2 linked regions of the Arabidopsis thaliana genome follow. The protein of the gene in region 2 interacts with the protein of the main gene of each other region in a pairwise test. Each region holds a gene or a part of one and is shown on either strand. Other genes may lie near its edges. The genes, in order: FOLK and AT4G34920.

Evidence for each region.
Region 1: the proteins of AT4G34920 (region 2) and FOLK interact in a protein complementation assay, tested with the Arabidopsis thaliana proteins (one large-scale study listed by BioGRID).

The regions. Positions count from the first base shown.
Region 1 is NC_003076.8:23,668,390-23,673,467, forward strand, and holds FOLK (Phosphatidate cytidylyltransferase family protein), read left to right. Parts: upstream 1-1,877; 5' UTR 1,878-2,123; coding exon 2,124-2,438; intron 2,439-3,241; coding exon 3,242-3,309; intron 3,310-3,395; coding exon 3,396-3,527; intron 3,528-3,666; coding exon 3,667-3,782; intron 3,783-3,888; coding exon 3,889-4,181; 3' UTR 4,182-4,480; downstream 4,481-5,078. Other genes in the region: EOL2 (ETO1-like 2), read right to left, coding at 1-85; AT5G58570 (uncharacterized protein), read right to left, coding at 4,481-4,741. UniProt on the Arabidopsis thaliana protein: Kinase involved in negative regulation of abscisic acid (ABA) signaling. Substrate preference is farnesol > geraniol > geranylgeraniol, but has no activity with farnesyl phosphate. Can use CTP > ATP > GTP = UTP as phosphoryl donor.
Region 2 is NC_003075.7:16,633,541-16,637,664, forward strand, and holds AT4G34920 (PLC-like phosphodiesterases superfamily protein), read left to right. Parts: upstream 1-1,963; 5' UTR 1,964-2,204; coding exon 2,205-3,161; 3' UTR 3,162-3,443; downstream 3,444-4,124. Other genes in the region: AT4G34910 (P-loop containing nucleoside triphosphate hydrolases superfamily protein), read left to right, coding at 1-165, 301-396, 481-618, 694-776, 858-1,125, 1,220-1,294; AT4G34930 (PLC-like phosphodiesterases superfamily protein), read left to right, coding at 4,011-4,124.

The sequences.
Region 1 (5,078 bases), on a different chromosome or scaffold from region 2:
TGCTGCTTGTAGAGGGAGAGTCTTGTGTAGTAAAGGCGTGGACTTGAGTGCTTTTAAATCTCTCAAAGAGTTTGAGATTGCGCATTTTGCTATATCACAGAAATCTGAGAAAAGGGTTTGATTTTGAAGTAAAGAGAGAGTGAGGGAGACGGAGAGAGCAAGAGAGAGAGAGAGAGAGAGAGAGAGAGAGAGAGAGAGAGAGAGAGAGAGTTGAAAACACAAGCTCTGTCTCCGGTGACAACACACAGTGCAGAGACAAAAAGGAGAGAGAGAGAGAGAGGAAGAAGAAGACGATGAAGTGTGATTGAGAATATAAATTATTTTTATAAAAAGGTCAATAATTTGGGGAGAAAAAAGAGTAATGGCGTCGATTTTTGCAAACCCAAAAAACATTTATATGGAAAAAAAATGGTCGAATCTCATATCTGTTTTTCTTTCTTTTATGCATTTTTTTGTGGAACAGTTTACGAACTTCAACAGTTGGTGGTTCTTATTGGGTGCGATACGAACCAGACCACTTTCCTTTCTCTTTCCTTTTTGTGTAAAGACCACTTTCCTTTTTTAAAACAATATTTTGTTTCTGTTTTTTTGGTGAGGAAATATTTTGTTTCTTTGTTAAATTGTTATTTTTTTCCATATTTGAAGATATTGGTATGGCTTTTAATTTGTGAAAATTTGGGTTTATTACAGAGTTATATGATGATTAAATATAGTTTAGAGAATTATAGATGGTTGGTTCGTTTCGGGTATAATTAAAATAAGCCTCTCTGACTATCCAACGTCATTGATTCATGTGATGCCAAGATAGGTAGGTTAACTAGTTATGTGGTTTCTTATCGGTTATCTCCTATCTAAACAATTGAGCTTAACATTAAACTTTGAAGATATTAACTTATCTCTCTAATGAACGAAAAAAATTCAGTTTTATTGGTTGATTGGTTATGATTTCAATGACTAACAAAGAAATGGTCTTTAATTTATGTACAGCATGAATTTACTCAATTTATTACATACAACATGATTTCAAAAAATTGCTTAAAATTTTGCAAAACATTTCTTTACTGTGATCACACTAATCATTTGTTAATCTGGTGTCTACTTTTTTACTCGCTAACGTGAGCGTGTATATTTATATTTTCTGAGATCTTCATAGTTTTAGGTTTTTAGCTTGTAGTTAGTTTTTTTTGTTCTCGATATTGGACCAACAACTATCAGGAAACGCATAATTTATTATATATATAAAAAACTCTCATAAAACGTACTGTATTAAAACAATAACAAATAAAAAGTGGAGAGAACTATATCCAGAACCAATTCTGATGTTCTTTTGCCCGCACACCTGGAAAACACATGCAAGTGTACTCTTTAAAGATAAACATATATACCATTTGCGAAATAATTGAGGATTTTTTTTCTTTTGCCAACAGATAAATAATATAAGATTGTTTCAGAAAAAAAATAAAGATGGATAATTGAGGATTAGGTTGGCATTATTTGATGCAAAAAATACTAAAGAAAATCTCACATTGAAATCAATTAAAATAATTTTCTTATGGTATATACAAGTTGATGCAAAATTGATAAAAGATTAAACAAGGCAAGAGACGTGTGGTCATGTGTCTCGGCAACCCATGTGAGGGAATCTGAATCACTTTTTTTTTTTTTTTTTTTATGTTTCTCGAATCTGAGTAGCACAATAATTGAATTGTGTTTCGTAACTAAATTAGGGATTTATTAATCATGAAAAATTATTTGATGAAATCAAATTGTGGTCCGTCTAGTTGACTTATACCAGCCCAAATTATTTAGCGAATATAAAGCCCAAACTAGGCCCACAATAACAAATTATGCGTTTCCTCAAACGAACACCACCATGTCATGAACCATTCTAGCCGAATCCAAATAGAACGAAACTAAAATTGCTTTAATCCATATGTGACCAGATAAAGTAAAACACTCCTTTTGGGGAAATAAATATCCACTTTTCACCATCTTTTTGGTAAACAATAAAACAAACCAAATTTTGTGTGCTTGAGCAACAACAACTACCAACCAGTTACTGTCAAAAAAAATAAATGAAAACGTAATCGAAGAAAAGGTCGTGTTTTCTAGTGTTGCAGAAAATGGCAACTACTAGTACTACTACAAAGCTCTCCGTTCTCTGCTGCTCTTTCATTTCATCTCCTCTCGTTGACTCTCCTCCTTCTCTCGCCTTCTTCTCTCCGATTCCACGATTCCTCACTGTCCGAATCGCGACTAGCTTTAGATCGAGCTCTAGGTTTCCGGCCACCAAAATCCGCAAGTCTTCACTCGCCGCCGTGATGTTTCCGGAAAATTCGGTTTTATCAGATGTCTGCGCGTTTGGAGTCACTAGCATCGTTGCGTTCTCGTGCCTCGGTTTCTGGGGAGAGATTGGCAAACGTGGCATCTTCGACCAGGTTTTCGATCATTCAATTCACTTAATTAAATTATACACGCGTCGATTTGTTGAATAACGTTTTTGGAATGTTGCTCGATTCTGCAATTTCTGGTTAAAGCAACTTTGGATTCAGAGTAATGGTAGTAGTAAGCTTTATCGAGTAATGGATGGCATTAATGGCGAGGATAATAAATCTTATTAGTTCAAGAAATTATAGAATGTGAATGGATACCTATTTTGGGGTGGAAGAACACTGCGATAAACAATGGGAAAGTAACCCCATATCTGGTAAATTAGTGGGAAAATTGCTCAGAACCCAATTTGGGGATGAAATTTTTTTGAAATTCGTGCGGTATAATCACAATCTCATCGTAACTTGAAGATTCAACCATATTTATGATATATATGAATTTTGTAGGTTTAAATGTTGCACAATTTCTTTGCTATACTTTGAAGGATTATTTCTTCGTATGAGTCAGTCTATACACATATTGGACATGGCTTGTTTTTTTTTCCTTTCTCTTATGTGTTTCTCCGCAGTGACTTGTTTTTCTTCAAGTAATTTGGTTAGGAGTAGAGGAATTATCTATGATTAGCAAAAATTCTATTAAACATTTTTGGTTTGGGAATACCTGTATGGCTTCAGCTACTTGATTTTGTTTCTCTGACCTTATCGTGATTAAGATATCATCTCAGAACCCATTGAATTTATAAGATCCACAGGCTGTCTGATGTAGGACTGACTCCACTTTCATGGTTTTATTGAATGAGGCATTGGTTTAACATCTGTGGTTGACATTGGTGTTATTTCTTATTTTTCAGAAACTCATCCGGAAGCTTGTGCATATAAATATTGGGCTAGTTTTTATGCTTTGCTGGCCGCTGTTCAGGTAATAATACGGAGTGAAAGGATCGATTTTGATGTACCAGCTTGCTTTTCTGCTTCACCAGTTTATTTCGATATCAATTGTTTCAGTTCTGGAATCCAAGGAGCACTTTTCGCATCTCTTGTACCTGGACTCAATATAGTAAGGATGCTATTGCTGGGGCTTGGAGTGTACCACGACGAAGGAACAATCAAGTCAATGAGCAGACATGGAGATCGCAGGTAGCTGAATCGAACAAGTGTCTGTCACAATATCCAACAATCTCTTAGCATTCTTGGTATCTATGATCAAAATTCGGTTTGTCTGTTTATTATTGCTTTTGTCACTTCACAAAGTGTCTGTAGTCGCTCTCTGCATCAGGGAACTACTTAAGGGGCCGCTTTACTATGTACTGTCAATCACATCAGCCTGCATCTACTATTGGAAATCATCCCCAATCGCGATTGCGGTGATATGCAACCTTTGCGCAGGAGATGGTAAGTACAGTTAGCTCTGGTTTGATCCAATAACATTAGCAACTTTTGTCTTAGGAATTTGAATCCATTGAATGATGATTCTAATACACACACTTGCTGTTAAAAGGTATGGCTGACATTGTGGGTCGGCGGTTTGGAACAGAGAAGCTTCCTTACAACAAAAACAAATCATTTGCTGGTAGCATTGGAATGGCCACCGCCGGGTTTCTAGCATCTGTTGCGTATATGTACTACTTTGCTTCATTTGGTTACATCGAGGATAGCGGGGGAATGATTCTTCGTTTCCTCGTCATCTCTATAGCATCAGCTCTTGTGGAATCACTCCCAATAAGCACCGACATTGACGACAATCTCACCATTTCCTTAACCTCTGCCTTGGCCGGATTCTTACTCTTCTAATAATACCCTCTCGTTGTTATGTATCATCAAATAAAGGGTCGAGCTTGATTGCTGATATGGAGGTAAAACTGCATTCATTGTTCCCATCTTCTTCTGTATGTACGTATTAGTGAAACATCTCATATTGTTGTTGTCCACAAATCTTATTTTTCAGCTGCAATTGCAGTTGGGTACAATGTTGTAATGTTCTATCCATTAGTGAGACATATGATGACGAACAGTGACGCTTCTACAATTTGTAACAGATACTCTTTTGTAACAGATATTCAATACATGTTTGTTTGTTATTTGGCCTATGGCTATGTGGAAATGGATTGTTTGCTTACAACAGGTGAGGGCTTGAGTGTCCCGCTCCAGGAAGCCTCTTCTGACAGGTCGGACTGGTGACTGTAACGGCGTTTCAGACAAGGAAGCAACACGAGGAACAAGAGGAAGACGGCGAAGCTGATGACAAGAACTACCGTCAAGATCTCACCATGCATGGCGTAGTGTCTGTCTCTAGTGAAAGTAAGTCGTTCGCCATCTTCAGGACTCGAGGCCTCCACCGTAGAAGTTACCATTAGAGAGGTAATCTCAAATATTCTCAAATCTCAACTCCTTTGCTCATACCTACTTCATACTGTCATGCATCATCTTGGAGGGATTTGTGTCTGTTTCTTTTTCCTCTCTGAAATATAAATTTGACTTGGGAGAATATGTATCAAATGAAAACAATATGTCACCACAGAAGAAAAGAAGAGTTTAAATATATTTCTTTGGGATAATTTAGTAGATGGATTTTTGTATAAAGGTTGGTGTAGAAAGTGAGACTGGGACGTTCGTTAGTGATTGCTCTCTACATATGGGGCGTTGGATTGGGTCTTTTTGGATCTTACGTGCGACGTCGTTTTCGTAATT
Region 2 (4,124 bases):
GATTACTTGATTGCAACGGATGATAATAGCCAGACTAAAAAACAAAAGGAAGAGGCTAAAGGTGAGGCTAACAAGGAGAACAAGAAAAATAATAAGCGTAGCAAACCAAAGCTAGATGCTGAGTTCGGTGTAGTTAGGGGAATTGATTTCAAAAAAGTTCACACGGTATGCTACTTGACTTTTGCTAAGGGGGTTTTCTTTTCTTTGTTTTTGTACTCTTTGCTGCTTGGGATATTGTAAGAATCCTTCTTTTCTTTGCTCTATACTCTTAACCTTCCCTTAAACCTTTTTTATGCACAGGTTATAAACTTTGATATGCCTCAAAGTGTTACTGGATATATCCATCGAATTGGGCGTACAGGGAGAGCATATAGCAGCGGATCTTCCGTTTCTCTTGTGAGTTTCTCGTCTAATAATACTGTTGTTTGGCATGATCTCTTTAAATTTTGCAAGTCTAATGCTCTGCTTTATTTGGCACAGATTTCTCCTGATGAGATGGAAGGGTTTGAAGATATAAAGTCCTTCTTAGCAAGCGACAAGAACAAGGATATTGATATTATCACACCCTTTCCTTTGTTGACCGAAAATGCTGTCGAGTCTCTTAGATATAGAGCTGAGGTGAGTAATCTCTGTAGTAAGATGATTACTTCTTTCATTAAGTGAACAGTATTAAAAGTTGCAATTTGTTTGCAGGATGTGGCAAAGAGTGTTACAAAGATTGCGGTTCGAGAGTCTCGAGCTCAGGATTTGAGGAATGAGATAATCAACTCTGAAAAGTAAGCAAGAACATAACTACGTGTGTGATGTGAATTCTCTTATTTTTTTCATCTTCTTAATTTCTCTACTTCTTTCTTCAGGTTAAAAGCTCATTTTGAAGCTAATCCAAGAGACTTAGATCTGTTGAGACATGACAAGCCTCTGAGTAAGACTGCACCTGCACCACATCTAAAGGACATCCCCGAGTATCTAGTGGACGCAAAGACTCAAGAAGCAAGCAAGATGGTAAAGCTAGCTAGAGCCGCAATGGGCAACACTAGGAGATCTGGTGGAGGCGGTGGTCGCAACAACAAAAACAAGAAACGGTCTAGAAAAGGCAGCGACCCACTCAAAACCTTCAACCCTAATGTAAAACACAACTGAATTTCTCCATTTCTTCTCTGTTTTGTGTGTATATTTGTGCTAATTTTTTCTATGTTGTTTGCTTACTTCAATCAACCAGGGGTCTAAGAGAGGAGCCGTTGGCCAGAAGGATGGCAAAGATTCTAGCTCGACCAAAAAACAGAAGACAGTTTAAGTTATTTCGTTTAGCGTAAGTGTAACCAAATTTTGACTCGTTATAGTCAATCACACAAAAGAACGGAGACGAGAGCATCAATCTTTGTAGCTCTATTCATGTAGCATCAGGAGACAAAGTTTTGTGAGCATATTATTAGCCTTTTGAGGTTTTTATTGAAATAGATTTTTGTAAGCTTATGAAGACGATATCTGCAGGGTTCAAAATACTCAAATCCACATGGTTTTGGACCCATTTAGATATTTTCGAAATGAATTGGCACATTATATGCTTGCACGTTTTTTGTTCCGAGTATTTATGCCACATGTGTCATCTAACTGATTGTGTATAATCAATTAAGTATACCAAATTGGATAAAATTTACCGATTGAAAATTAGTTGTTTTACTTGTACATCGTGGTCTATATATATCATTTTCCAACATAAATTATACACTTGAGAATAACACTTTCTGTTGAGTTGATTTCTTATATTAATGCCAAAGCTAAGACTAAATAAATTCTACAAAATATTTTTAAAAATTTTAACTTTTGAAAAGCTAACTTCAAATACTAAAATATATACTATTTGAAATTGATTAATATTATATAGACCAAGTTGGATTTTGATATAAACCACATCGCATATTCGTTTTATTAACAATTCATGTTTATCATGACCTAATTAGTTCTCTTAAATAGTTGTTGGCAACTTTTAATTAGATAGCCAATCAATTTGAATAAAGAGGTCAAACTCCAACCAATCCCACAACAAATAATTGTCTTTGATTTAACGTTTTACACTTAAAAGACAAACACTGCACGATATCTCTCTCAGATTTATAAGTGAACCCTACAAAGTACAAGTCGTAAACTCAACCACAAGAGAAACCTTATCTTCTTCTTCTTCTTCATCATCAATCTCTCAAGACATGCTCTCTTTTTTCTCTAACCAGATCGACCGGCAAAAAGATGTGTCTAATGAGGAAAAAACCCTAACCAATCTCGAAAAATCTGACGGTTCACAATTCCCTGGCGATGACTACCGTCCGTCCGATCGGAAAAACTGGATGGCTGGTCTTACGTTGGAGAAACTAACTCTAAACAAGATCGTGTGGCCAGGAACGCATGATTCAGCCACCAACGATATCGGAATACCTCTGATCTCTCGTCCTTTAGCTGAATGCCAATCGCTCTCTATCTACGAGCAGCTCGTCCTCGGGACACGTGTCCTCGATATCCGTGTGCAAGAGGATCGCCAAATCTGCCACGGGATTCTGACGTCATACGAAATTGATGTTGTCATTGATGACGTTATCAGATTCTTGTCGGAGACTCACTCGGAGATTGTAATCCTGGAGATAAGGACTGAGTTTGGACACAAAGATCCTCCGGGGTTCGAGACTTACTTGGCAGACAAGTTAGGTCAATTCTTGATACATCAAGATGATAGCTTGTTCAACAAGCCGGTATCAGAGATTTTGCCGAAAAGGGTTATATGCATCTGGAAACCTAGAGAGTCTCCAAAGCCGAGCCGTGGTGGAATTCTCTGGAACTCAGATTATCTAAAAGATAATTGGATCGATACGGATCTTCCATGGACGAAATTTCAGAGCAATTTGAAGCATCTGAGTGAGCAGCAGCCGACATCTTCTAGAAAATTCTTTTACCGGGTTGAGAACACGGTCACGCCGCAAGCAGATAATCCGGTTGTGTGGGTTAAACCGGTGACTGATCGGATCCGAAAACACGCCAGACTATTTATTTCTCAGTGTGTTTCCAAGGGATGTGGAGATAAGTTGCAGATTTTGTCCACTGATTTCATCGAAGGAGATTTCGTTGATGCCTGTGTCGGCCTTACTCACGCAAGAATCGAAGGAAAGGTTTGATAGAACTCTGGAACGATCGATGGTTGATCTCAAGCATTGGAACCAAGATTATTTGCTTTTGGGTTGCGTGTATCTTAAGTTATGCTATGTATTAAAGTGTGTAATTTAAGTTTTCTATGATTGTACATTATATCTGTTTTTCGTTATCCGTCCTGTTTGAAGAATCAAACAGAGAGATAAAGAGAAGGCAGGGGAATTTATTCAGTTGCTTTATTTTGCTCAGATTCTTGTACCAAGTTACATATCCTAGTGAAATTTCGAAACCCTTTTCGGCAAGATTAGCGTCTCAATATCCAAAACGCATCCGCCATCTAATGACCTCTTCAAGAAAGATTACTCATATATATGTTTTGGAGCAGCTTTTCTAAGCTCACTCAAATAGATTTGGATTTTGGACCACAAATCATTCACAGACCCTGCCTAAAACCTGACCATCTTTCTCTTTTCGGATTTTTCAACTATAGTCTTATTTTGGAGCGTCGGAATAATTAAATTTTGTTTATCTTGTTGATTAGTTATTGACTTATTTCAAAGCCTGATTAAATATTTATACAAAAGTAAACTTATAATTAGGAAGAAAAAAAGTTAAAATAAAGAGAAGGGTGTCTAAGAACATTCTGACAAATATTTTATCGAATATTGGATTATCGTATGAAATAGTTGTAAATAAACACATCGCATGTATATAGCTTGTCAACAACTTCATATATAATAATAAAGAACAACAACTTGATATCTTATATATGGTTTAGAAAGGAAAAGTCTTAGTGACGGAGTGGTGGCCAACTTCGTTAAGTTGAGAATTTAACCAGAAAGAACCTAAAGAAAGTTCTCATCTCTCAAATAAACATGTCTTTTTTCGGAAAACTCGCAGACACTGTGGTATCTTTTGCAAACGATTCTGCGAAATCTGTTGTAGAAGAAGTGGTAAATCCAACGGTGTCTTTTGCAAACAATTCTGCA